Linked DNA regions of Lepisosteus oculatus. The protein of the gene in region 1 binds, or shares a complex with, the protein of each later gene. Links are inferred from orthologs where the notes say so. Each region holds a gene or a part of one and is shown in the gene's direction. Other genes may lie near its edges.

Evidence for each region.
Region 2: the proteins of agt (region 1) and ren are in contact, whole or in part, in a crystal structure (PDB 6I3F), measured with the Homo sapiens proteins. The link is inferred for Lepisosteus oculatus from reciprocal best matches to the Homo sapiens genes AGT and REN. Residues at the interface, in NP_001369746.2 of Homo sapiens: Asp25, Tyr28, Ile29, His30, Pro31, Phe32, His33, Leu34, Val35, Ile36, His37, Asn38, Glu39, Lys91, Leu92, Ala95, Met96, Met99, Leu100, Phe103, Arg107, Arg148, Ala151, Ile152, Gly154, Gln353, Gln354, Asn355, Asn358, Glu391; in NP_000528.1 of Homo sapiens: Tyr81, Met82, Thr84, Gln85, Val102, Asp104, Gly106, Ser107, Asn109, Ser118, Arg119, Leu120, Tyr121, Thr122, Val125, Tyr126, Leu147, Arg148, Tyr149, Ser150, Pro181, Ala182, Leu183, Pro184, Met186, Leu187, Ala188, Glu189, Phe190, Val193.
Region 3: the proteins of agt (region 1) and dpp3 are in contact, whole or in part, in a crystal structure (PDB 5E2Q), measured with the Homo sapiens proteins. The link is inferred for Lepisosteus oculatus from reciprocal best matches to the Homo sapiens genes AGT and DPP3. Residues at the interface, in NP_001369746.2 of Homo sapiens: Asp25, Arg26, Val27, Tyr28, Ile29, His30, Pro31, Phe32; in NP_005691.2 of Homo sapiens: Phe109, Glu316, Tyr318, Glu329, Phe381, Gly385, Ile386, Pro387, Ala388, Gly389, Ile390, Asn391, Ile392, Asn394, Arg399, Val412, Leu413, Val415, Ala416, Phe443, Val447, His450, His455, Glu507, Glu508, Asn545, Arg548, Leu552, Glu555, Phe556.

The regions. Positions count from the first base shown.
Region 1 is NC_090712.1:2,034,410-2,042,437, forward strand, and holds the start of agt (angiotensinogen), read left to right. Parts: upstream 1-4,956; 5' UTR 4,957-5,061; intron 5,062-7,242; 5' UTR 7,243-7,275; coding exon 7,276-8,028. Other genes in the region: capn9 (calpain-9), read right to left, coding at 3,051-3,266. UniProt on the Homo sapiens protein: Essential component of the renin-angiotensin system (RAS), a potent regulator of blood pressure, body fluid and electrolyte homeostasis.
Region 2 is NC_090700.1:38,578,638-38,586,676, forward strand, and holds the start of ren (renin), read left to right. Parts: upstream 1-4,881; 5' UTR 4,882-4,968; coding exon 4,969-5,030; intron 5,031-6,672; coding exon 6,673-6,826; intron 6,827-7,938; coding exon 7,939-8,039. UniProt on the Homo sapiens protein: Renin is a highly specific endopeptidase, whose only known function is to generate angiotensin I from angiotensinogen in the plasma, initiating a cascade of reactions that produce an elevation of blood pressure and increased sodium retention by the kidney.
Region 3 is NC_090713.1:22,418,771-22,426,517, forward strand, and holds the start of dpp3 (dipeptidyl peptidase 3), read left to right. Parts: upstream 1-4,569; 5' UTR 4,570-4,679; intron 4,680-6,878; 5' UTR 6,879-6,912; coding exon 6,913-7,182; intron 7,183-7,747. UniProt on the Homo sapiens protein: Cleaves and degrades bioactive peptides, including angiotensin, Leu-enkephalin and Met-enkephalin. Also cleaves Arg-Arg-beta-naphthylamide (in vitro).

The DNA.
Region 1 (8,028 bases):
AATTTTCCTTAAATAAATATTTCCAATTCCAGCTTACATCAAAGACCTTGAGGAGATCAACTGGCAAATTTATTCTTTGGTAAAAAACATTCCCATTTGAATATCTTATGTTTTTTATAGTCCAGCCTGTACAAGACACAGGGAGGTGTCAGGCTGACAGTTCGTCTTTTACAGGACGATAAGACCACTAGACAGTAATCACCACTCTCTGCTGATAATGTGCATCACAAGCTTTTAAACGAAGAATATACCCCTCTGAGTCAAAGTGAAGGTGCCTGGGAGGCTTGAAATCAGATGGTTCTTGCCTCATGAAAACAGGTTTTGAACGAGTTGGGAGGAGAAACTAGTGTTTTTTTAGGGTGTGTTCAAATATTCTGCTGGAAGATCCAGAAACGTTTGATTCCTGGTAGTGCTGGATGCCACTGGAATGCAGCTGAAACAAGGGGCAAGAACCGGACAAAACTACTGTACACCACTTCCCAGAGAAAACCACGTGGAAAACAACATTTGGATCAAGAATTGGTTGGGCCAATTCTTCCCGATTTATACAGTTTCAACAATAACTGGATATGCCAACAGAGCTAGCAAACTAGCAAACATATATTCAAAAAATAGGATGAGTGACACAAAGAGTGACAAAGAAATGATGAAGTCTTAGACATGGAGTGGGCAGACATTGCACGGGATGTTTAACACTGAAAAATGTGAAATTCCAGTCCAGGGGGTTACTGTATGTTCATGCTTCTCAAAGCACCAGTAAGGCTTCAAGTAGAGCTGTGGGTGTCTGACACAGGCTTCCCAGCAAGGAGATGGAGGCCCAAACTCAGAGTTCTTTTAAAATATAGCTGCATGAAATTGTAGTTTCATTCTGCTACCAAACTACCCAATTGGCAAGGTGGTCAAACAGTTTTCCTCTGGTTAGGATCCTTTCTTAAGTTCTTTTGTGCAGTTGTGCACATTGCCCTACTGCTTCAGGTCCCTCTCACATTGAGCCAAGTGCTGTGCTGGAAATATTGATTACCACCTCCAATCAAAACCAGAAGTAGAAACAACAAAATTTAAAACACAAGATTCAGTCTAAGGGAAACAGATAAATGATAAGAGTGCTATTATTTGGTGGGGCGAAAAACATGTCTACTCCAATGCAAATCGTGAAGTACAGTCTGCAGGTCCACTACATCTTGACGTGAAAGGTTACTATTCTCTTATTTCTTATTTACAGCTGGTGTCCATTACTATTCCTCTGCAGGTGACAAGCTGTGAACTTGAAACACATTCCAGCTTGCAGCTCAGAGCTACCGGCTCTAAGTGACACTCCCACGCCACGCACGAGAATAGTCTCAGCGGGTTGTGAAAGGAGCCCTCGGCGCCTCTCCCGTTCAAAGTCAACAGAAAAGACATTCTTGGCGTGCCACCGCGCTTCCTTCCTCACCAGCACTGCAGTCACGGGACAGGGCATCACTTCACAGACACCCCATTTCTTAGCTACAGTGGGTATTCTAATGAGCTTTCGGGTTTGAAAGGCTGTGCAAGATCCGCTGCTGTATCCGCAGTTATCTGGTGATCGGAATCACACAGTACAGTATATTCAGGCGGCTTCTCTCTGCAGTTCAGTACAGGCCCTGCAGCTCATGTTTACACCTGGTCAAGGACTGTGCTCTGCACACCCTTGGTAAATAATATGTTAGTAGTACTGAAAGTCATGAAATAGGACGTTTTTCCTAGAAATGAAATAGCAGTGGAAGGACTACAATCATATACAAAACCGACCGAGTCAGTTCGTAAGCTTCTGTGTGCCGTATGCTATTTATTAGTTTGAGCAAGACGAGGCGTTTTCGTTCATTATTCACAAGGTGTTTTCTGTTTAATTTTTTCCTAGATGATTAAACATGACAGGTCGTCATGACTGGAATTTTAAACCTGGCGTTGTTTTCCCACTTGTTGAAATCAGCAAGCTCTTATTGGGCAGTATTAAAAAGCACTTGGTGGTGTTGCGCAAGACGCGTCACATCCCCTGGCAGAACAGGTTTTTAAATAGGTTTGATAAAAACAATACATATATATATATGTGTGTGTGTTTGACATCAGTCCAAATTAAATAAATGAAGTATGTTTCCAGATAATTACTTTTTTCCAGAGCACTTCATGAAATCGTCTTTTGCGCATGTGAAATAGTAGGTGCTGAATCCCATTTTGAGAACAGATGAGTGTTACACACAATACGTCGCTACCTCTCATTTTATATTTTGTAAAAAGGTGATTAAAAACAAAAAGAAAAACTCTAAATTCAAAAACATGCAAGTGAAACACTGGAGATGACTGCGCTGCGCTAAGGGCAGGACAGTTTTCGTACTTCATTCTGAGATTTGTCACGTTTTACCAGAGCAGGCTTGATCCATCACTTGAGTAATGAATTATCTTGTGTAATTCGCAATGCAGCTGACAACAGTCCTAGATTTTTGTATTTTAAAGTGTTTTTTTGTTTAAGTAAGGTTTTGTCTCACTACTTAATGTGTCTCCATTAAGCATTACTTTAACTTTTTTATGACTGGGACACCTCCGCTGAAAACAAAGCAATAAATATTGGTTTCAAAATGAAAATAAGCCATCAAAACACCAGAGCCGTCATTTGTCGAATCAAAACGCATATTAAAACAGCGTTTTATGAAACGCACACCATTGCATTCGTGATCTAAGTTTTAATGAGACATCTGAAACCGCGTAACGAGAAAAACAATATTCGGTAAGTTATTTCAGAAGTGAATTTTGCGTCCCGCCATGTCCATCGCAACAAATTGAATTCAAACACCTAACAACAGAAACTCCACTGTCGTTTACTGCTGACAGAAAAGTCTACAGTATATATGTATATGGTTTCCAGCTACACGTCGATAAACAGTATTCATTCAAGAAAATGAAGCTCCATTAATCATAAACATAAATATGTTTAGCCCGAACATTAATTGCAAACACAGCACGAATAAACACCCCCGAAACAGTTGGCTCGTCTGCCGGGAGCCTGTATTTATGCAGTGTGAAGCGTGTCCTACCCCCGGTCGCTTCCATGAGAAGTTGATGGGTACGCTCTCGCTGTAGTAGATGGAGGAGTCGCGGGCAGGGAAGTCCGGGTCCTCAAACAGCCGTTTCTTCTGCAGGCATTCCCGGCGGAGCTCCTCGAAGCTCCTGCCGTCCAACTGGGTCGGGCGAGCCTGCACCGGCTTGTCGCCGCCCTTGTTCTGGAAGGAGTTCTGGTAAGAGTAGGGCATCCTCGGACCCTGGCGCGGACAGTGTAGCTCGGCGGAGGAGACGCGCTTTGCGCAGGAAGAGTGGCGGGGCACCTGGTTTTCACCTGGCCGCCGGGCAGGTACCTGTAGGACCACACCTGGAGGAACAGGTTCCACTCGCCTCAGAAGGCCCAGCCCATCCCTCGGGCGGCCCCGGGGGATCTTGGCTCTGGAAAGGAGTAAAAGAATTTACTCCGGCTTGGAGACACAGGGATGAGTGACGGTGGACAGGAATGTCGTCTAGTACAGGTGTATAGCTGCCAGGAGAGACAAACTGCATAGTATGGTGCAGCTGTTGAACTCCTCCTGTCTTTTCAATGCAAACTGTTTGAAGCGATACCAGCAGTATCACTGCTCAGGACATGTATAGCTACAGTATGGCCACATGTTTTGCATGAGTGTAGATTAATTTACACTTCAGTGTGAAGCTAAACTTCCCTTTTCAAATATATCTACTGTATATATCTGTCCTTCTTGTCTTTGTTCCTAGTATGCAGATAAGCACCAAAAAAACATTAATAACAGAAGCACAGTACTTAATAAATCCAGAAGTTCATTCAGTTGTTATCCTGCCATGTTCTTCAAAACTGTGAGGTCCCTCAGCACATGAATCTAGTGACGTTGCCATTCAATGACATAACATTTCTAAAAAAAGGGTCTTTTTTTGCCTTTATGAACTTGGGGGGGATATTAAAAATGTCTATAATAAACCTATAGCAAAGTGTGCATTAAAAGAACTTGATCTAAACGATAACGGAGAGGAGTGAAAACAAATGTAAAAGTAGCATTAATAATAATAACAGTTCTTTCAGGGGGCATCATATACATTTCCACATCGGACTGTATGATTTGTTGTGTTTCTCATCAAAATGGGTCCAAAAACACTACAGAGCCATTAATTCCCTTTGGGATACCCACTGACACACTGAGACTGGCAGCAGTATATCAAGAGGTTCTACTGATCCTGATTATTTTACACCTGAGTCACAGAATCTCTCCTGACGCTGCAACGACAGCTGGGGTATTGCGATGTGAGGGCCATAGGGGTGTGGCTGTTAGCACTGCTGCCTCATGGGTCCTTGGTCCTGGGTTCGATTTCAACCTGGGGCACCTTCTGCATGGAGTTCGGATGTTTTCTGCTCTCTGCTCGGGTTCCATATTGCGAGAACATGCTAAATTAACTCGGTTAAATGGGTCACTACGTTGTCCCTGTATGTTCAGCAATGGAGTGATGTCCCATCCGGGGCATTTTCCTCGCTTGACCCCTATATCTCCAGGATAGGCTGCGGGCTTCACCAGGAATAAGCAACTTTCTGACAGTGGATGGCATTACGATGCACATGGATGTCTTGGCAAAACGTGAGGCCGTGATGATGACTGCAAAGCAGGAGAAGAGGAACAACAAACATAAAAAAAGATGTGCAAAGAATCCTGAGGTCGCACATCGGAAAGCTCAGAAGCTTAATAGCCCATTCCTCCTATTTTTTTTTATCTTCAGTAGCGTTAGTCAGCTTCCTGCAAGGTGTAACAGAAAAACCCTCTTACAACACGGTTATCGTAAAGAGTTTAGAAAGGACACAGAGCTGGTCCATCAGGACAGCAGCACAACTGCGCTGAGAACAGATCGTCACAGCTTCAGTGATTCACCAGCTTGGCTAATGAGTAACAGGCAGGCTAAAGCATGAAGCAACTACAAGGCTGCTTGTCTTTAAAAACAGACCACCAGACTAACGGAACTCTGAAACCAGCAGCAGCTGCCTCAGCAACAGAATTTAAGGTCAGTGCATCTTAATAAAAACATTTTCACAACAATAATTTCCCTTGCAAATATCTAATTAAAAACTGTTAAGAAAATTCAACAATAATCAAATTGAATTTGTAACAAGTTATCCTTGTTATTTTAAAGTAATTGTTTAAAGATAGAATTCTTGCCAGAAACTGTGCACTTATTAATAAAAAGACATAATTCCTTTTTGCTTTGAAGCATAGTGTTGAGAGATTAGCTTGTTTATTGTGTGTCATAGAGAAGAAGCTGAAGTCTTTAAAAGCTGTCCTAGAACTGTTTTAAAAATTATTATCTAATATATAATGTAATACAGTATATATGAAACACACTTTGATGTGTAATTTTATTGTTTTAATATTCATAATCACACTATGTTATGAGAGATTATATTTTTTTATATCCATTTGATTATCATAATTTTATATAAGTGTATTTTAATTCTACACACAAAAGGGGAATTGTGGCACTCTACACATTTGCTTATTAAATAAAAAAGAGATTCGTATCTTGTGTCCAAAGAAAGGAGAAAAAAAATATTTAACCATTTTTGCGGTACAAGATAGATTTTGACATGCGCACCTCATGCAATGATTAACAAGCTTTCCTCTTCCAGAGGACAGCAGTCCTGAATTTGCACTGCGTGCTTTGTGGGGAGTCTTCACCTGCAGGGCTTCAGAAGCAGAAATAAAATACATATAAATCACTCTTTAAAAACTTTTTAAAAAATTCTCCTTCTTCTTGTTTTAAAATTCAATTTTGGAACTTCTGTCATTTGTTTATATATATATATGTAACTCAAAAACAATAGCTTTAGTTTTCCAGTAAATGAACTTCATGCAGTCCGTAGTGCAGTGACTGCAAGGCCTTGACAGTATTGGATTTCTCCTCAGGCTACAGTACAGTGCAGATCAGTTCACTAACCTTTCCCACTAAATAATCAATATGTTTATACAGTACGTTTTTAACATTTATCATGTTTCATAAAACTGGGCTATAAGAACCATCTGTGAGCTTTCATGTTGTTTTTTTTTCCTTTTCTATAAATGAATTTGTTTTATACTTTACATGGGTTTATGAAACATTAACATAAAGTGCTCATGAAGGTTTTACAAGCTTTGAATACCATTAAAATTTACCTTACATTTATATAGAACATTCTAAATCGGTGACCTTATAAACGTTGTAGCCTTGAACAAAATGATCAAAAAGTCAAACTGCATAAGAACACCTATACGTGGTGGGGAGATGAACAAAAATAATTGGTTTAAAACTGCAGACAAGGTCAAAGCCCCTTCGTAGGAAGACATACTGTATGTAACAGCAAGGTGCACTGAGTTGAAATAGTAACTGTTATAAAAGCAAAGTCCATTATCAGACGCGAGGACTCAGAAGAGGACCACAGACCAAATTGAGACAGCTGACAGCAGATCATAGAAGTAAACTGGAAGGAAGCCACTTAGTCACTGCGTTTTTAAATTCGGCTCTGAATTCTGCGGGACGACAGTGCAGTGATGTTACAGACGTGATTTAGTTTCAATAAAAACCCAGTGAGCGATGGGCTTTGGACTTCTTCCAGCTGTATTACAGACACTGTTAAGTGCAACTGTTAGTAAGGCTATGCAGCATTGAGAAAAGGGAGCAGCATAGATGAGTTTATTCACAGCTACTGTCGCAAGCACAGGTAAATAGAAAAGACACTTTGGAAACGTGCTGCTTTTAACAGCAAAATATAGTTTAATGTCACTTGAGTAATCATTTGCCAGCATGATTTTCTTTCCCTTTTTCAAACTTTGTCAGCTTTAGCCCTGAGAATTTTATTTTTCAGTATGTCCAACAGACATAGATATACGGTATGTGTGTATCTATATATGTTTGTCTTATTTAAGTAGCAATCAAAACATTTACTTGTCATTATTACTTGTTTGCTATTTAAACTGTGGCAGTTGACCTTCTTTATCACATTTTCTTTCGCTGATGTGAATCAGACATTAGAGAGGAGCTCAGCAGTTCTGCGAAGTTCTCTTGAGAAAGCCATTCCTGTGATGGACACAGGCCAAACTCAAAAGAGGCAGTAGAATAACGTTGCAAACGGCCCATCATAACTAGCTGTACTTTTGGAATTTCTGCAACGGCCAAGTCCTGATTTCTAGAGTATTTTACTTTTCTGAACAGGTTTACTTCATAAGACGGGACTGAGAAAACAGGATGCAAGAAATCCTGAAGGCTTTGCTCCTTCTCTCCTGCGCTTGCCTGACGCTGGGGAACCGTGTCTATGTTCACCCCTTCAAACTGTTCGCGTTGGAAAATCTCACCTGCGTGAACCTTCAGACTCACAAGGAGAAGCTGCTGGAGGAGAACTTGATTGAACCCTCCCCTATAGACCCACTAAACACCTTTCAGGGGGACACCAGCCCAGACGAACGGCCCGACCGGACCAAACAAAATCTTATCCAGCTAAAAGCCGAAGTGCTTGCAGGGCTCCAGAATGGCCTTGGTCTTCGGGTGTACCGCACCCTACTGAAGCAGAAGACCGGCAACGCTCTGTTCTCTCCTGTGAACACTTTCGGAACTCTAGTCACATTTTACCTGGGGGCCTCATTACCCACAGCTGCAAAACTGCAGGAGTTCATTGGCATAGTGAAGGAGGGAAATACGAAAAACTGCACGTTTGTATTTGATGGCTACAAGGTTCTGACCACGCTTCAGCACATCAGTTCTCTGACTAACGGAACCACCGACTTGCAGAAAACATTTGCGTGGACCTTTGTCGACAGAGGCGTTAAACTGCCGCACGAGTTTGCTCAAGGGACGCGGAACCTCGCCGATTCCTCCTACATCAGGTCGGTGGACTTCTCCCTCACCTCAGAAGCCAGACCCCTCATGAACTCCTTCATCGAGCAGACATCTTTGGGGAAAATAAAAAACCTTTTCAGTGCCATCGACCCATCTTCTGACCTG
Region 2 (8,039 bases), on another chromosome or scaffold:
CAGCCTTGCCTGATCCCTCTTCACCGGAGAGGGGATGAGAAACATTCCCCTGCAACGAATCAGAGCCACTCGCCAGATTTTTCCATTTCAATCCATAATTAATGATTTCCTATCAAGACACTTAACAAAACAGGATGCCTATAGCATTAACAATTAATAAACTATTAATGTGACAGTTTCATGTTTTTTCATGACAGTTCAAGTTAAAAGCTCACGTTTTAACATGATAAATACTATTGTTTTTTACCAGTTCCTATTTTTGAAAGCCAGCAACTGAGGGGTACTGCCGTAACCTACATGAAGAATATGCTGTACTGTGAAAAATTCGAACATTATCAAAGTATCTCTAACGATATATATATATAAAATATTTCATGGAGGTGCAATATAAATTAAATCATAGCGTAAACTAAGGCAAAACTTGTCCATTTGAAATATTAAATGGCAATTGAAAGGTCAGAGCTTAATGTGGAAATGTCATTTCCACGTGGAATAGTAGGAGAAGGTGGAAATATCACACAGTACATAAGTATAAAAATCGTCTCATGACATGCATCTAGACTGACCATCAGACACAGTGGCATTTACCTTGAGATCTTAACATTCTGAAAGCAGCTCAGCATGACAGTGTGCCGGCAGTCAGGACTCTAATCAGTTTCTAAGAAACTGGCCTCTCATTTGATTTGAGAAATAGGTGCTTGCAATTAGTCAAACAAGAATAAGGTACATGAATAATCAGAACTCAATGCAAACTCATGTGTCGCTTTTTCATGTATTCAGTGTGGCTGTGCAGAAAGTACAATAGAGAACCCACATTCCATTGTCTAATCTTTATATGCAGCACAAACACTGTGGCTTTACTGAGCTTTGTGTAGCCTATGTAGTGCACAAAACAGTGCTTTTTGGTCTTGAACAGCTTTCAGGGGTAAGACAGCTCTTCATTCTGCACAGTTCGGGCTCCTAAGGGTATAGGCTGCCTATGACTGCCTGAGGGTGTCTTAGCATAAACAGACATTGATGGATGGAGGCACCTTCTCTGGTAAGGTTGGAGGGAGTAGCTACATCAGCACGTGGGCTACAAGGGTAAATTCAAAGGAAAAGAGTGAAATAAGCAGCTTTTATGCAGTAGAGTCTCTTTCTTCATTTATTCTGTAGAATATGTTTAGATGATGTTCACTCTGCAGTCTGTGATAAAGTGGTCTAGCCACAGACACAACACCAAGGAAACAGCCTCTCGGCTTCAAGCATGAGAGAGTTTTGCCAGAATCCTACAAGGGGAGCGATGTGAGAGATTCCTCGTCTAGCATCAGGGTTCCTGGAGCTCGACATTACCTTGTGTCCTAAATTCCTGGCAACAGTGCAGGAGGGACCTCTTTTCCCATGCCTAAGCAAGAGCTGTGTGTTTGGAGGGCGTGTGTTGGCGCAACTGAGTGACGCAGGGGTCTTGCCCAGGGTGTCACCATGGGGTCCCTGTTGAGGCTTCTGGAGCACAGCTCTGTGGGAAACCAGCTTCTTGGGGCATCAGCTTGGACTGGAGGTCACAAGAGTGCCTCTGCCAGTGCCACTTGTGCTCCCTGCTTGCCAAAAAAGCCCTCTTTAAACCGTCCATCTGGATTCCCAGCTCCTGGAAGGCCTGGAACAAACACACAAAGCGCAGAGAGTGGGAAGGAGTTTGTGTGGGCTGATGAAGAAACCCGACTGTGTTGAAACCTGTCATTGCTATTTCACAAAGGGCTCAAAATGTGGGTAGCAGTGCAGGAAACAGCACACTTCACAGCCAGAGAATCAGAAGAGTCGACAGCTGCACTCCTTATCTTAATTTATACTCAACCAAGTTGCTCCAAACTGCCTTGGCAAGAAAAACAAACTATGCCCAGCCGCCCGTTTTCCTAATGAGGAGGTATTTCGGTAGACATTTCCACCTCCACAAAAATGATAATGAAACTCACAAACCGAGGTCAGGTGGCACCAAACAGCCAGCAGGCTCAGAAACAACAAGGCTACATTAAACCCAAGTCCGTCACTGCCGGGTCTTAACACGGCAATCACTTTACGCTAGAAGATTCTTGTCTTAATAAGCAAGTCATTTACTGTAAAACCTTATCACAATGACTGCCAAATGATTTCTTGGTAGTGCCAGGGAGTGGGAACTGTTTGAAATTCATCCCCAGACTTTTTTTTCCTGCCTCCTTCCTGACGTGAACGTTAACATCTTTTCGTCCGATGCGGGGTTGAGTACACAAACAGGACCTCCAGCCTGACCTCAGAGCAAGCTGTGGGAACCGAATTTGACTCACAGGAGAGACATGGGTGTGTGTGTGAGTGGGTGAGCAAGTGCATTCTGTACTGAAGCCTGTGGCAATACAGAGGTTACAGTAGGAGTTTCCCACTCAGAGCAGCAGGAAAGTATTTGGAGAGAAAGATATTCTCAGTTGATACAGATACACAGGGGTGCTATCTGTGTAGGGAGAGGGGGGATGCAACCAGCCCAGCACAGCTGGCCCAGGCTTGAACCCAGATCTAGAATGATTATTTTTATTCTTCTATTGACCAGACATTTATCAATCTTGGTGATATATGCTACTGTTTTGCTTGTGCTTGTATTTCGTTTGTAAACGTCACCCATCTGAAGGCAGATTTTGTCATTGTGGATAAGGGGGTGTGGGGAGGAGGGAACCCATCCCAAATGTCTTTTTCCAAATATCCCTGCCCTAAATAAATCCTTACTGCAGCCCCAGAGATGCAGATATTTTATTGTTAAAACACACAGCCTATGCAAACTTCTTTCATAATGTTTACCCATGAAGCCTCATGTGAGGTGCATGTCTTCTCATACTGCAGTAAAAAAATAATTTCAACCTTACAAGGAGAAACAACATATTCCATGTGGCACTACTTAATCCAATCCAATTATGGAAGTAATAAAAAATGCTAATAAAAGAGAGGAATTCTGCATTATGCTTTTTATATGAGTTTGTTTAGGCCTCCAGTAAGTGTTTGCGGGAACCGAAAACTTAATTCAGCTGACTGACAGTTAATGTCATACAATTATTGCAAGTATTTCAGTATTTGCAAAGTACAATGCTGTTATAGACAGTAGCTGGATTGGGCACTTAGCGCAGGACCTGAGCCATGCGGATGCCATGTTTGTGTCTTTCCTAAAACAGTTTGGATGAGTTTCCTGGACTCTTTGCAACAGCAGACAGGCATCCCGGGTGACTAACCTCCACCAGTGTCCCAGGAGCCCCGGTGGAGCAGGCTGTGGTAACTGAGTCTTCGTGGCGCTGTGAACTGACCCACGTGCAGTCCCCTCAGGTTGTGAGAACCGGTCTGCTGGCCCCTGCGATGGCCTATAATTAATGGAGCGGGACACGGGTGCACACCCCAGAGACCAATCTGTCTGCAGAGGGCCAGCCTGCTGTGGCTCTTCCTAGGACTCCAGCTCAGACTCGGAGCGAAGGTGAGCTGGGGATTTCTGTAGCTCAGAGGGGTACAAGACCGGTCTGCATTAACCCATCAAACACAACACCTCCACAGCTGCAAAAAGAAGAGCTCAAATACCACATCTGTGAAAATAAGAATATCACCACCTGTGAATCTCCCCGAGAGTGTGCTGTTTTACAATTTTCCAGATTTGTTAGACGTTGTATTTACTGTACACGTTTCATTTTTAAATATTTTCCAGGGCATTATCATGGCAAGAGCAAGGTTAATCGACAGCTCTTTAAGGACAGTTTTCAAGAGAGCGACACTTGAATCAGCACAGGAATGGGGGAGAGCAGAAATTTTTTTGTTCAATGCTAGATATGAAGTTAATTTTAATCTGTTTTGTTTTCTTCACAGCTGTATAAAGTGATGCTTCAGTAAATGTCAATGCATCTTTCTGTACTGCATTTGTTTTGGATGCAAAATATATGAAGGGATTTATATGGTGTTTTGAGTCCCATGCATCATTTCTTCAAGCAATATTGTGGAGATACGAAAAGTAAAAAAAGACATACAGATAAAAATTAAACTGTGACAGCAAAGACAAACAATATATAGCCTAAGACTGTAGCTGTAAAAAAAGGAGACCGCAAAACAGTTCACACTTCAGAGCAAAGAAGGTCAACCAAGGTTATGAAGGCTGTGGTAATTTTTCACCCAATAATACCTGAAAGCCAAGCTCTCATGATTACAAAGCCAATCAGTCATTAACACTGATACGGAATAGTGCAAGAAGGGTGCTCTTGCAGATGAGGCCCAGAGAGTGTCTGAAAGTATGCAGTAAATGTAAAGAAATTCATTTAACAAAAAGCATTTTCTTCCCACTGTGGGAGGACCAGAACATGAGCATGTGTGTGTAATTTTCAGGAGTACCCCATGTTTCCCCTGGCCTGTCCTAAGACATATTTGTTGCTTCTGGAGTCATACCTTCATAGACCACCTTGTTGGCACACCTGGAACACCACAATATAAAACAGTTCTAACATAAACAGGTCATTAATGCTCATCTTAGAGGATCCAAAAGACCTGGGACTTCCGGTAACACAGGTCACTGTGAGCACTTTTTCTTTCTTCACCTTCCTTTATTTGTATTTTATTTCCTGTTTCAAACAAATGATTGTGCTCCATTAACATGTTGTTGCCCCATTATTAAAAGCCTCTACTTCACAGCTAACTCCAGGGTGAAGGAGTGCCTCCCTCTGAGAGAACGCTATCTTGGGAACGCTCTGTGTCGCTGCTCTCCGTCTCAACCCCTTCTCTGAGGTCAGAGGTCGCACAGCTCTGGGACCACTTCACCAGGGGAGGGGCTGGGTGAGGGGACAGGGTTGTTTGGTGCTGTTAGCAAAAAGAGGCTTGCAGGGCACTGCTGGGCAAAGAAGAGATGGTATAAAAAGGAGGAGGTACAGTACAGTCTGCCAGACAGAGATCGCCTGAGGAAACAGACTTTGTTTGAAAGCTGTCACACAACCCCCTGCCATCACAATGCGCTGCTGGGCTGCTCTCCTGCTGGTGCTGATGATCACCTCAAGCCAGGCTTTGATAAGGTAACTTTTTTCAGAGTACTTGTCAGCTCATTTATGCATGCCAGAGACACAAAAATTATAAAAAAGAATGCTTGCAATGATGCTTAAGAAAAATGAACCCTGTGGCTCCCTACATCAGTAAATTCTTAAGAATTCTTAAGAAAACTTACCAGGCAATTTCTTTCCACAGACATGATGTAGTTTTACTAGTATGAATCTGTTTTACTGCTGTTTCCCACAGCTTTTGTGTTGATTTAATGTAGGCTTACAAGTTTGCTTTGAGTAACTGAAATTCGATCTATGGGGCTTTTGTCATGCTACAGTGCTACACTTTTACAAGCACATTCCCGACCTACTGTAGTAAGAACACCCCAAATGCCCTTTTCTCTCCTCTGCGATGCAAAGCACGGATTGCAATGACAATAATAATAAAACAATGATTACTATAATAATAGGGTGGCATGGTGGCACAGGGGTGAGCGGTGCTCCCTTGTAATGCTGAGGCTCTGGGTCCTGGGTTCAGATCCTGGGGTGCTGTCTGTGTGGAGTTTGTATGCTCTCCTCATGTTTCTGTGGGTTTCCTCCCACAGTCCGAAGACATACTGGTAGGCTATTCTGTTTCTTCAAAAACTGGCCCTGGTGTGAGTGTGTGCAGGTCCGTGTTTGTTTGTGTGTGTGTGTGCCCTGCGATAGACTTGAGCCCGATGCCTGCTGGGATAGGCTCTGGTTCCCCTGGGAGCCTGTATTTGATAAAGCATTTAGAACATGGATAAGCTTTGGCGCTTATCAGGAGCAGAAAAACAGGATTTGATGGGAAAAGGGAAGAGGACTTTTATGCTTCATTTTCATGTTTTAAACAGGTGTCTAGTATGACTTGATGAAGTCACACCTTCTTGATACTGTACAAAATGCAAAGGACATTGAAGTGTCACATGAAGGAGATTAGGCTCACTCAGACAGGTTTACTCTATACATGATGCAGATGACCAAGGAAATTATTTAAAACGTTTGATTTCCACTAGTATATGATATTCAAATATAATAATAATATATACATTGTTGCATATATTTTATACATCTTAGACACAAAAGTTTTCTCAACACAACATTTTCTATTGCTCTAACAATTGTTATTAATACAGCTTTGCTGTGGGTGAGAAAAAAAAACAAATGATTTAGTGAATTTTTAATTCGCACTGATCAAGGTTCAGTGATCACACGTGATCACAGTAATTTAAGGTGAACATATGAACAGCCCATAGGGAATTCTGTAGCAGCTAAACCATCACTTTTACCAATCAGATCTAATTAACCCACTGTCCGCATCATTAACATAGTCTGTTCTTCTCTACATATTAATAAGGATACAAGGTTACTTTTTGTACTACAAAAGACTGACTTGTAAGGATTAACTGTGAGCATTATCTAAACATTTTAAAACAAAATGGCTAAATTTCAATACAGGTTTACCATAGCTGTGGAGTCCTGCAGCTCAACAAATTTATTCCTGCTGACAATTAGTGCTGGAGGTGTTGATTTCAACCAGTTTAAGTACATAATATGCAGAACACAACAAGCAGAACTCAGCTGGGGTAAGGCCACTCACAGTTTTGTTCCAGTGTGTTGATTTCTGTTCGGCCTGATTCATCTCCTCTCCCGTCAGGATCTCTCTGAAAAAGATGCCCTCGATCCGGGAGACCCTGCGAGAGATGGGCGTCTCCCCAGCCCAAGTCTTTGCCGAAATGGCCCAGAAGATGGGATTTGACTCACCTCCCAGCAACGGGACCGCGCCCACCCCCCTCACCAACTACCTTGATGTGAGACCAGCAAAACCTTTTTAATGTGTACCGAGTAAAAAGTTAAAATGTGAAGAAAATGACACATTTTTAAGTCAGTGTTGGCCAGTTCTGGAACTCCACAATGTGCAAGTTGTAACTCCTCAAGACTTGGAGAAATCGCAGCCAGTTCATGAAGATCATAGCTTAATTAATAAATTGTGCACCAAAATGTTTTCAAAACCATTAACACTCTGCAGCTCCTGAGGACTACCAATCAGGTGTCCCTCCCAACACTACGGTGCTGATCTTTCAGGCCAGTGAACGTCACCTCCGACCCTCAAGAGATATTGGATCAACTGGCTGATTTTCTCCTCGGGACTTTCAAAGCTGAGGAGTTAAAGTGAGCTAGAAAACCCTGCCGGAGTGTGTATCGCCGTAGTAATTAACAACACAGGTCAGCGATGTCTAGCTGTAGCTGCAGAGTAACACAAGCCATCATGTTTTGTGTGTCACCTGTAAATCATCAATTTCCAAAACCACTGGCTTTCACCTCTTGAAATGTTGATTTACTCAATGGCGTTGATTAGATTTGAAATTAAAATCACATCTCTCAAAGACCACAGCCAGCCATTCCTAACTTAACTAAATCAAATCACAGCCACAGCTCATGTGTTCCAAGTCCGTGCGGGGTTATGGATTTATGGGTAAGCTATTAAATATGTGAATCCCCTGGACCGGAGCTGGCCATCCCTTACAGAGATGTTATAAAGGGTGCAGCTCAAGTTAAATGAGACACCAGCTTGCGCTCTTCTGTGCACAGCTCCAGTGTTTGAGGATTGGCACAGGCTTTTTTAAAAGAGATGCAGGAAAGAAGAAAAATACCATAGCGTTTGTAGTGCTTATTATCAATTATGAAGTTAATTATAAAAGTAAGACATTTCCCATAATTTCCTGTCCAAGATTGCAATATAGCCTCTCATATCCTGACACCACAGTTTACAAAGTAGGGAAAATACATTAAATTAAAGCAACAATGAGTTGTGGTTCTTTTTTATCTCCACCACAGGCAATTATGGCAATATTAGAGTGATCGTCAAATGCTCTGACAGCTGTTTTTGTGATTTTTCTTCCCGGTCCCCTCTCTGTCTCAGACGCAGTATTTTGGGGAGATCAGCATTGGTTCGCCTCCACAGATGTTCAATGTGGTATTTGACACCGGCTCGGCAAACCTCTGGGTCCCATCCTACAGCTG
Region 3 (7,747 bases), on another chromosome or scaffold:
CCTCTCCTCTCCTCTCCTCTCCTCTCCTCTCCCTCGCGTGTGGCCACAGGCAGCCAGGGGGAAAGGCCTTTTCTTTCCCGAAACTTGTCAGGCGGCGGTGATTTATTGAAAGGGACTTCCTGTGGTTGGCTGGCTCCTCTGCAGCTGCTCTCGCAGGCCGGAGCGCTTTTCCAGGGAGGGGGAAGAGAGCCGGAGAAGGAGCCCAGCCCGTTCTCCCTCACTGCCGGTCAGTCCAGTCCAGTCTGGCTCAGTATGGCTCAGTCCAGTCCAGTCCAGTCCAGTCTGGCTCAGTATGGCTCGGTCCAGTCCAGTCCAGTCCAGTCTGGCTCAGTATGGCTCGGTCCACTCCAGTCCAGTCCCTTCTGGCTCATTCCACAGTTCAGCCCGTTCTCCCTCACTTGCCGGTCAGTCCAGTCCAGTCTGGCTCAGCCGAGTCCGTTCTCACTGCCAGTTCAGTCCAGTCCAGTCTGGCTCAGTGTGGCTCGGTCCAGTCCAGTCCAGTCCAGTCTGGCTCTTCCCACAGTCCAGCCTGTTCTTTTTCACTGCTGGTCAGTCCAGTCCAGTCTGGCTCAGTATAGCTCAGTTCAGTCCAGTCCAGTCCAGTCTGGCTCAGTCCAGTCCGTTCCAGTCTGGCTCAGTATGGATTGGTCCAGTCCAGTCCAGTCCAGTCTGGGACAGTCCAGCCTTCTGACAGTTTACCATAGTGAATGTATCACACTCTGTGGGTTGTTTTACTGTGTTTTTTCCACAGATGTGCTGTGGGTTTAACCAGCCTTGTCTGTGCTGTGCCACAGTGCATGACCAGGAAGGCCGGGTCTGAGTCCCGTTAATGGCGGTTGTGGGTGCGAGGCCTCCTGTTCCTCGTGTACTTCCTGTCTGGTCTTAATTGGCAACTAGTTAACGAGGAACAGAGAGGGGTGGGAATAACCTCCTATGAGTCTTGCTGTTCAACTAAAGGTTTGATCAGTAATCAATCAGGATAATAATTCAAGTAGTTCAGGAGGGGAGCTGGCTGCAAAGGAACAAGTGCAGGTTTATTCCCCGCAGAAGAGCGATGAAAGGAAACACAACGTTTCGGCTGTGGAGCCTTCTTCGGGTGTGGATGGGCAGGCACTTCTAGTCTCTTCTAGTGCACTCTAACCCAACAGTCCTGTGCACCGGTCCAATCTGACCTAGCCCATTCCACTCCATCGCGGTCCCGTGCAGTCCAGTCTGGGCCAAATCAAACCCGGTTCAGCCCACTACGCTGTTCCCTAGATCTCAGTCTGACTCGGTCCGGTCCAGCCCACACCTCTCCGGACTGACGCAGGTCATCCCAGTCTAATTCCAGACCCCTCTCGCCCGTTGTGACCTCTGTGTTGAACAGCCTAGGTCTCCATTCGGACCAGTCCGGTCCAGTGCCCTGCAGTGTGACCCGCCCCAGTGCGGTCCACAACCCACAACCCGGCCGCACCAAGTTCTGCAGCGTGGGCCGGCCCAGCCCGGGACAGGCTTGAGACTGCGGAATGAGAAATAAAAGCCTTTCTCCGCGATTCCTGTCCTGGGCCTTGTTGTCCGGGCCGGAATGCTGTGACAGGGGATGATGGATGACCCGGGCCCAGAAGGGATGGGTGTTTATCCCCCCCAGTGCCACCCTGTCCCTGGTAATGGTTTCCCCCGAGCCCTGGCTTCTGGACCGTGGGGCCCAGAGAGAGAGGGCACGGCGCTCTCTAATCACGGCCCCCTCCCCAGCGCAGTCAAAACATCCCCCCGGTCCCGTTTCCTGCTGACTGCACGCTGGCACACGGGCCCTGCTGCCTGAAACGCCCACGCTGTCGACAGCCCTCGTTAGCGCCCCTTTAACGAGGTCCCCCGGCACGGCATCCCCGACCTTCCCCTTCCCTGAGCTGGCTCGGGTCTTGCTTTTTCACACCAGGGGCGGGAACTGACGTTGCGGGCCGGGGAGGAGGTGGGGGGAAGCATTTCAGTGTGGCGCGGGCTTCACACACCTTCGCCGATAGGGCCCCGCCCCGCGAAAGGTAACACCGGCATGTCGTGTTTTTCTCTGCGGGCGCGCGGCGGCGGGGGGGCGTGATCCGACTTCAGAGCGCGCTGCCAGGGCGCCTGGAGGGGCTCGGGCACGGAGGGGTGACCCCTGTTTATCTCCGCTGGCGATCTGGCCAGCCCAGGCGCTGGGAATGAGTGGCGGGGGGGATGAAAGGCGGGATCGGGCGGTCCTAGACCCAGGCTTAATAACGCAATCAGGCCGTTTCCTGTTTAGGGAAGCCCAGAGAGGCCTGTTCGGCCCCAGGGGAGGTAGGATTAGGACGTTAATGGAGCGTGAACACAGCACCGAGCAAGGGCAGAGGGAGAGTGAGGGCAGGAGGGACAGACGGGCTTCCTGAGAAACAGACGGGCCCAGAGAGGGGGGCAGTGCAGGAAAAGACAGAGGAAAACTAGCAGAGCCCAGTGAGATCGGGGTAAAAGCACAGTACAATGCAGTAGAGCCCAGTGAGATCGGGCTAAAAGCACAGTACAATGCAGTAGAGCCCAGTGAGATCGGGCTAAAAGCACAGTACAGTGCAGTAGAGCCCAGTAAGATCGGGGTAAAAGCACAGTCCAGCGCAGTACAGCCCAGTGAGATCGGGGTAAAAGCACAGTCCAGCGCAGTACAGCCCAGTGAGATCGGGGTAAAAGCACAGTCCAGCGTAGTAGAGCCCAGTGAGATCGGGGTAAAAGCACAGTACAGCGCAGAAGAGCCCAGGGAGATCGGGGTAAAAGCACAGTACAGCGCAGCAGAGCCCAGTGAGATCGGGGTAAAAGCACAGTACAGCGCAGTAGAGCCCAGTGAGATCAGGGTAAAAGCACAGTATAGCACAGTAGAGCCCAGTGAGATCAGGGTAAAAGCACAGCACAGTGCAGCAGAGCCCAGTGAGATCGGGGTAAAAGCACAGTACAGCGCAGTAGAGCCCAGTGATATCAGGGTAAAAGCACAGTATAGCACAGTAGAGCCCAGTGAGATCAGGGTAAAAGCACAGCACAGTGCAGCAGAGCCCAGTGAGATCAGGGTAAAAGCACAGTACAGTGCAGCAGAGCCCAGTGAGATCAGGGTAAAAGCACAGTACAGCGCAGTAGAGCCCGGTGAGATCAGGGTAAAAGCACAGTACGGCGCAGTAGAGCCCTGTGAGATCGGGGTAAAAGCACAGTACAGCGCAGCAGAGCCCAGTGAGATCGGGGTAAAAGCACAGTACAGTGCAGCAGAGCCCAGTGAGATCAGGGTAAAAGCACAGTACAGCGCAGTAGAGCCCGGTGAGATCAGGGTAAAAGCACAGTACGGCGCAGTAGAGCCCTGTGAGATCGGGGTAAAAGCACAGTACAGCGCAGCAGAGCCCAGTGAGATCGGGGTAAAAGCACAGTACAGTGCAGCAGAGCCCAGTGAGATCAGGGTAAAAGCACAGTACAGCGCAGTAGAGCCCGGTGAGATCAGGGTAAAAGCACAGTACAGTGCAGTAGAGCCCAGTGAGATCGGGGTAAAAGCACAGTACAGCGCAGCAGAGCCCACTGAGATCGGGGTAAAAGCACAGTACAGTGCAGCAGAGCCCAGTGAGATCAGGGTAAAAGCACACTACAGCGCAGTAGAGCCCAGTGAGATCGGGGTAAAAGCACAGTACAGTGCAGCAGAGCCCAGTGAGATCAGGGTAAAAGCACAGTACAGCGCAGTAGAGCCCGGTGAGATCAGGGTAAAAGCACAGTACGGCGCAGTAGAGCCCTGTGAGATCGGGGTAAAAGCACAGTACAGCACAGTAGAGCCCTGTGAGATCGGGGTAAAAGCACAGTACACCGCAGTAGAGCCCAGTGAGATCGGGGTAAAAGCACAGTACAGCGCAGTAGAGCCCAGTGAGATCGGGGTAAAAGCACAGTAAAGCCCAGTGAGATCAGGGTAAACGCATGCTAAAGTAATGAGTGATGTGAACCCTGAACCCATAGAAGCCTATGCAAAAATAAGCCTGCAGTCAAATTACAGGTTTCTAAATCAGGGGTCTCCAGCCCTGGTCCTGGGGATCCCCAGGGTCTAGTGCTCTCCAAGATGATACCCCAGTCAATCTGGGGTCCTGTACACTGTTCAGCGGTACAGCAGCAGGGTCTCCCACCCCAGGGTCGAACCCACGACCCCCCAGTGCCCAACGCAAGAGCGGAGAACAACTAGAGACGCTGAAAACGGGCTGCTGCTCTTTAGAAGATCAACAGCTGCCGTCTAGTGTCTCGTACTGGTATTGCACGCAGGTGCAGAGCACAGTTAACGGACACCGCGAATGTGCGGTTTATCTCGTCCCACACTCGCGCTTATTTGTGTGTACTCGATAGCTGACAAACCAGGTCGTCTCTCCCGGCCGAACTTTTAATAGAATTTATAATGTTTAAAGGGTGCAGAAAAAAAAAGAAATCGGACGAACGGAGCATTCCCTTTAAGAACTCAGTGGGGAGGCGGGACGTCCTTCCAAACGGTGATTGGGCAACCGGCGCGCCGATCGGGTTCCAGACGCAGGCGCGGTTCTCCGCTCTGATTGGTCGAGGCGGCTGTCGCCTGTGACAACCCGGAAGCCCTCCTCGCCGGGCAATGAATGAGAACCGGAAGTGCCTGCGGGTAGCGACGGTGCGAGCGGGGAAGACTCTCGTTGAACCACTGTGAATATATCTAGGTGAGCGGTATCGGTTCGTGGGTTTTATATAAATATATCTATATTTTTTTTTTTTTTTTACAAAAACGCGTTTCCCGTTAGCCGAAAAGTCAAAACAAGAGCGTCCCGGAAAGCTCTGGGGGGGAGACGAAAATCTCTTCTGTTTTGTGAACTTTAGCCTCGGCTCCTCTCCGTTAATATTTCATTTATTCTCATTTCGATTCGCTGTGCCCCTCCTGCACACAAGTCGCACCCTGCCGTATCCGTGTAGTTGTTTTCTTCCTTTCTGTGCGGCTCATGTCGCGATTTCAGTGGCGACAGACCAGTTGTCGCTGCCCGGCTCCCGGGCTGGCGGCTCGGTTCTGACTTGGCGGTCCGGGGCCGGAGAGCGCAGCTCACACCCGAGACCGCTTTCCGGGGATTTCTCGGGAATCATCTCATGACTTGGCGATGGAGGGGTTGTGATTTTTTACTTCTCCACTTTTCTACAAACAGAAAAAAACGTGTCACCGTGACATTTCCCCAGCCCTAAACGGTACGGCTCGGCTCCGTTCTGGCGAGTTCTCGGACGTCCGGACTGGACCCGAACCCGTCTGTCTGGATACGTCCGCCAGTTAGCTCTGCTAGCCGTTGAACAAATCACACCTTCCCTACCCGTCTGGGATATGTGATGCAGTCCGCGGAGAAGTCGGCGCTGCGCTCCTGCTGTGTAGCAGGATGATCCAGTCCGGGCTTTGCGCAGGCAGGGCAGCCGCGCAGTGCTGGGTCTACGTAGAGTCTGTCTGCTCATAGTGCGCAGACTTGCCCGTCTTTAAATGCGGCCCTTTCCTACGATGAGTACAACAGGAACGAGTAAGACCTGGAGCGGATCAGATTGCTGTGCAGTGGGAGTGTGATCTGTCTCTCAGGTTAACACTGCAGAAATCACTAACCCCATGTAGGGGTGTTTAAAATACCAGTATCTACAATACTGTTAGGCTTGACCCTTCCAATTAATTTATTTGGGGGCTCCCCAGTCTGGGTCGTGCGGGGCTGCTGTGTGGCCTGCAGGTTTTCAGTCCCCTTAACGACCTGCGTCGGCTCGTTAACGGCTTTAATTGGACCACTTAAACAGCCGTTCAGGCGCTGCTGTTTCTAAGAGAACTAGGAACCCCGCAGACGCAGCGTCCCCTCCTGGACCAGGAGTGGGGACCCCTGGCGGACTTTTTAAAAATTGCCCTCTGAGGGCAGTACTGTGTGGCGATCACGGACTCCCCTGGTGGAGACCCGTCGTGTACCTGGTTTAGGGCAGCTGCCCGCAGTCCGGGCCGGAGTGTTTGTTTGATAGGGCAGTCCTGCGCCCCCTGCTGGGCGTGTTGGGTGTGTCCCCAAGGCTAGTCGGTTTTATATGGGACTGCAAAGTCCAAAGGCTGTCTTGGCGAGCGTTTGGTGTCGTTTCTGGGGCTCCGCCCAACCCCGTAAAAAACACGCCCGCCTACACGGACACGGACACGGACACACACACACACGGAAACGCACTCCCAGGACGCTTTCAGGAAGCAGCGGGGTGAGATCTGCCCAGTGATGACGGGGGGGGCTGCTTTACACAAAGGGCGGCGGGGGTGTGGAGCAAGCTGCCCCAACAGCTGGTTCAGTAGTTCAGGTCTGGTCTTGTTAGACCAGGAGGACAGCTGGTCCGGTGGTTCAGGTCCGGTCCTGTCACACCAGGGGGACAGCCGGTCCGGCGGTTCAGGTCCGGTCCTGTTACACCAGGGGGACAGCCGGTCCGGCGGGTCAGGTCCAGTCCTGTTACACCAGGGGGACAGCCGGTCCTGTGGGTCAGGTCCGGTCCTGTCACACCAGGGGGACAGCCGGTCCGGCGGTTCAGGTCCGGTCCTGTCACAACAGGGGGACAGCCGGTCCGGCGGGTCAGGTCCAGTCCTGTCACAACAGGGGGACAGCCGGTCCGGCGGTTCAGGTCCGGTCCTGTTACACCAGGGGGACAGCCGGTCCGGTGGTTCAGGTCCAGTCCTGTTACAACAGGGGGATAGCCAGTCTGGCGGTTCAGGTTATGTCTCATTAGACCAGGGGGACCGTCAAAGCACTGGCCGTCCTGTCCGGCCCAGTGCTTGCTGGGACAGGCTCCGGCACTGCCCCCCCCCAGTCGCGCGCCTCCTCTGCCGCTGCCGCCCGGCTCACGTCCCGGCGCTCTCTCTCTCTCTCTCTCTCGCCGCCCCGCAGAGCTCGCTGTCCGCGTCTGAGCCGGGGCCCGGAGATGGTGGACTCCCAGTACTACCTCCCCAACGACGTCGGGATCGCGGCGCTGGACTGCGCCGAGGCCTTCCGGCTGCTGTCGCCCAGGGAGCAGCTGTACGCCCACTACGTGTCCCGGGCCGCCTGGTACGGCGGCCTGGCCGTGCTGCTGCAGACCTCGCCCGAGTCCACCCCCGTCTACGTGCTGCTGCAGCGGCTCCTGCGCCGCCAGCCCCCCGCCGAGCTGGAGGGCGTGGCCACGGCCGCGGGGCTGACCCCCGAGGAGTTCCAGGTGAGCCTGTCTCGGCGGTGCGGCTCTTCACACCCCCTCTGGCCAGAGTATTGGGATCCCCCATGAATAATGGGGTGACCAGTCCTGGTCAAGGAAGGGTCAGTGTGTCTGCAGCGGGGGTGTCCAGTCCTGGTCCAGGAGGGGGCGCTGTGTCTGCAGCAGGGCTGTCCGGTCCTGGTCCAGGAGGGGTCAGTGTGTCTGGAGCAGGGCTGTCCAGTCCTGGTCCAGGAGGGGTCAGTGTGTCTGCAGCGGGGGTGTCCAGTCCTGTTCCAGGAGGGGTCAGTGTGTCTGCAGCGGGGCTGTCCAGTCCTGGTCCAGGAGGGGTCAGTGTGTCTGCAGTGGGGGTGTCCAGTCCTGGTCCAGGAGGGGTCAGTGTGTCTGCAGTGGGTGTGTCCAGTCCTGGTCCAGGAGGGGGTGCTCTACATACCCTCAGAAAGCTTATTCTTTGACTAAATAGTTCTTTAAATGTGAAGTCTTTCGGGAAACTGTTTCTGGCTTGGTTGTGCTAATACCAGCAGACCTATACCTGGGGGTGACCCGGAAGTGGCCTCCCTGTAGGGGTGTC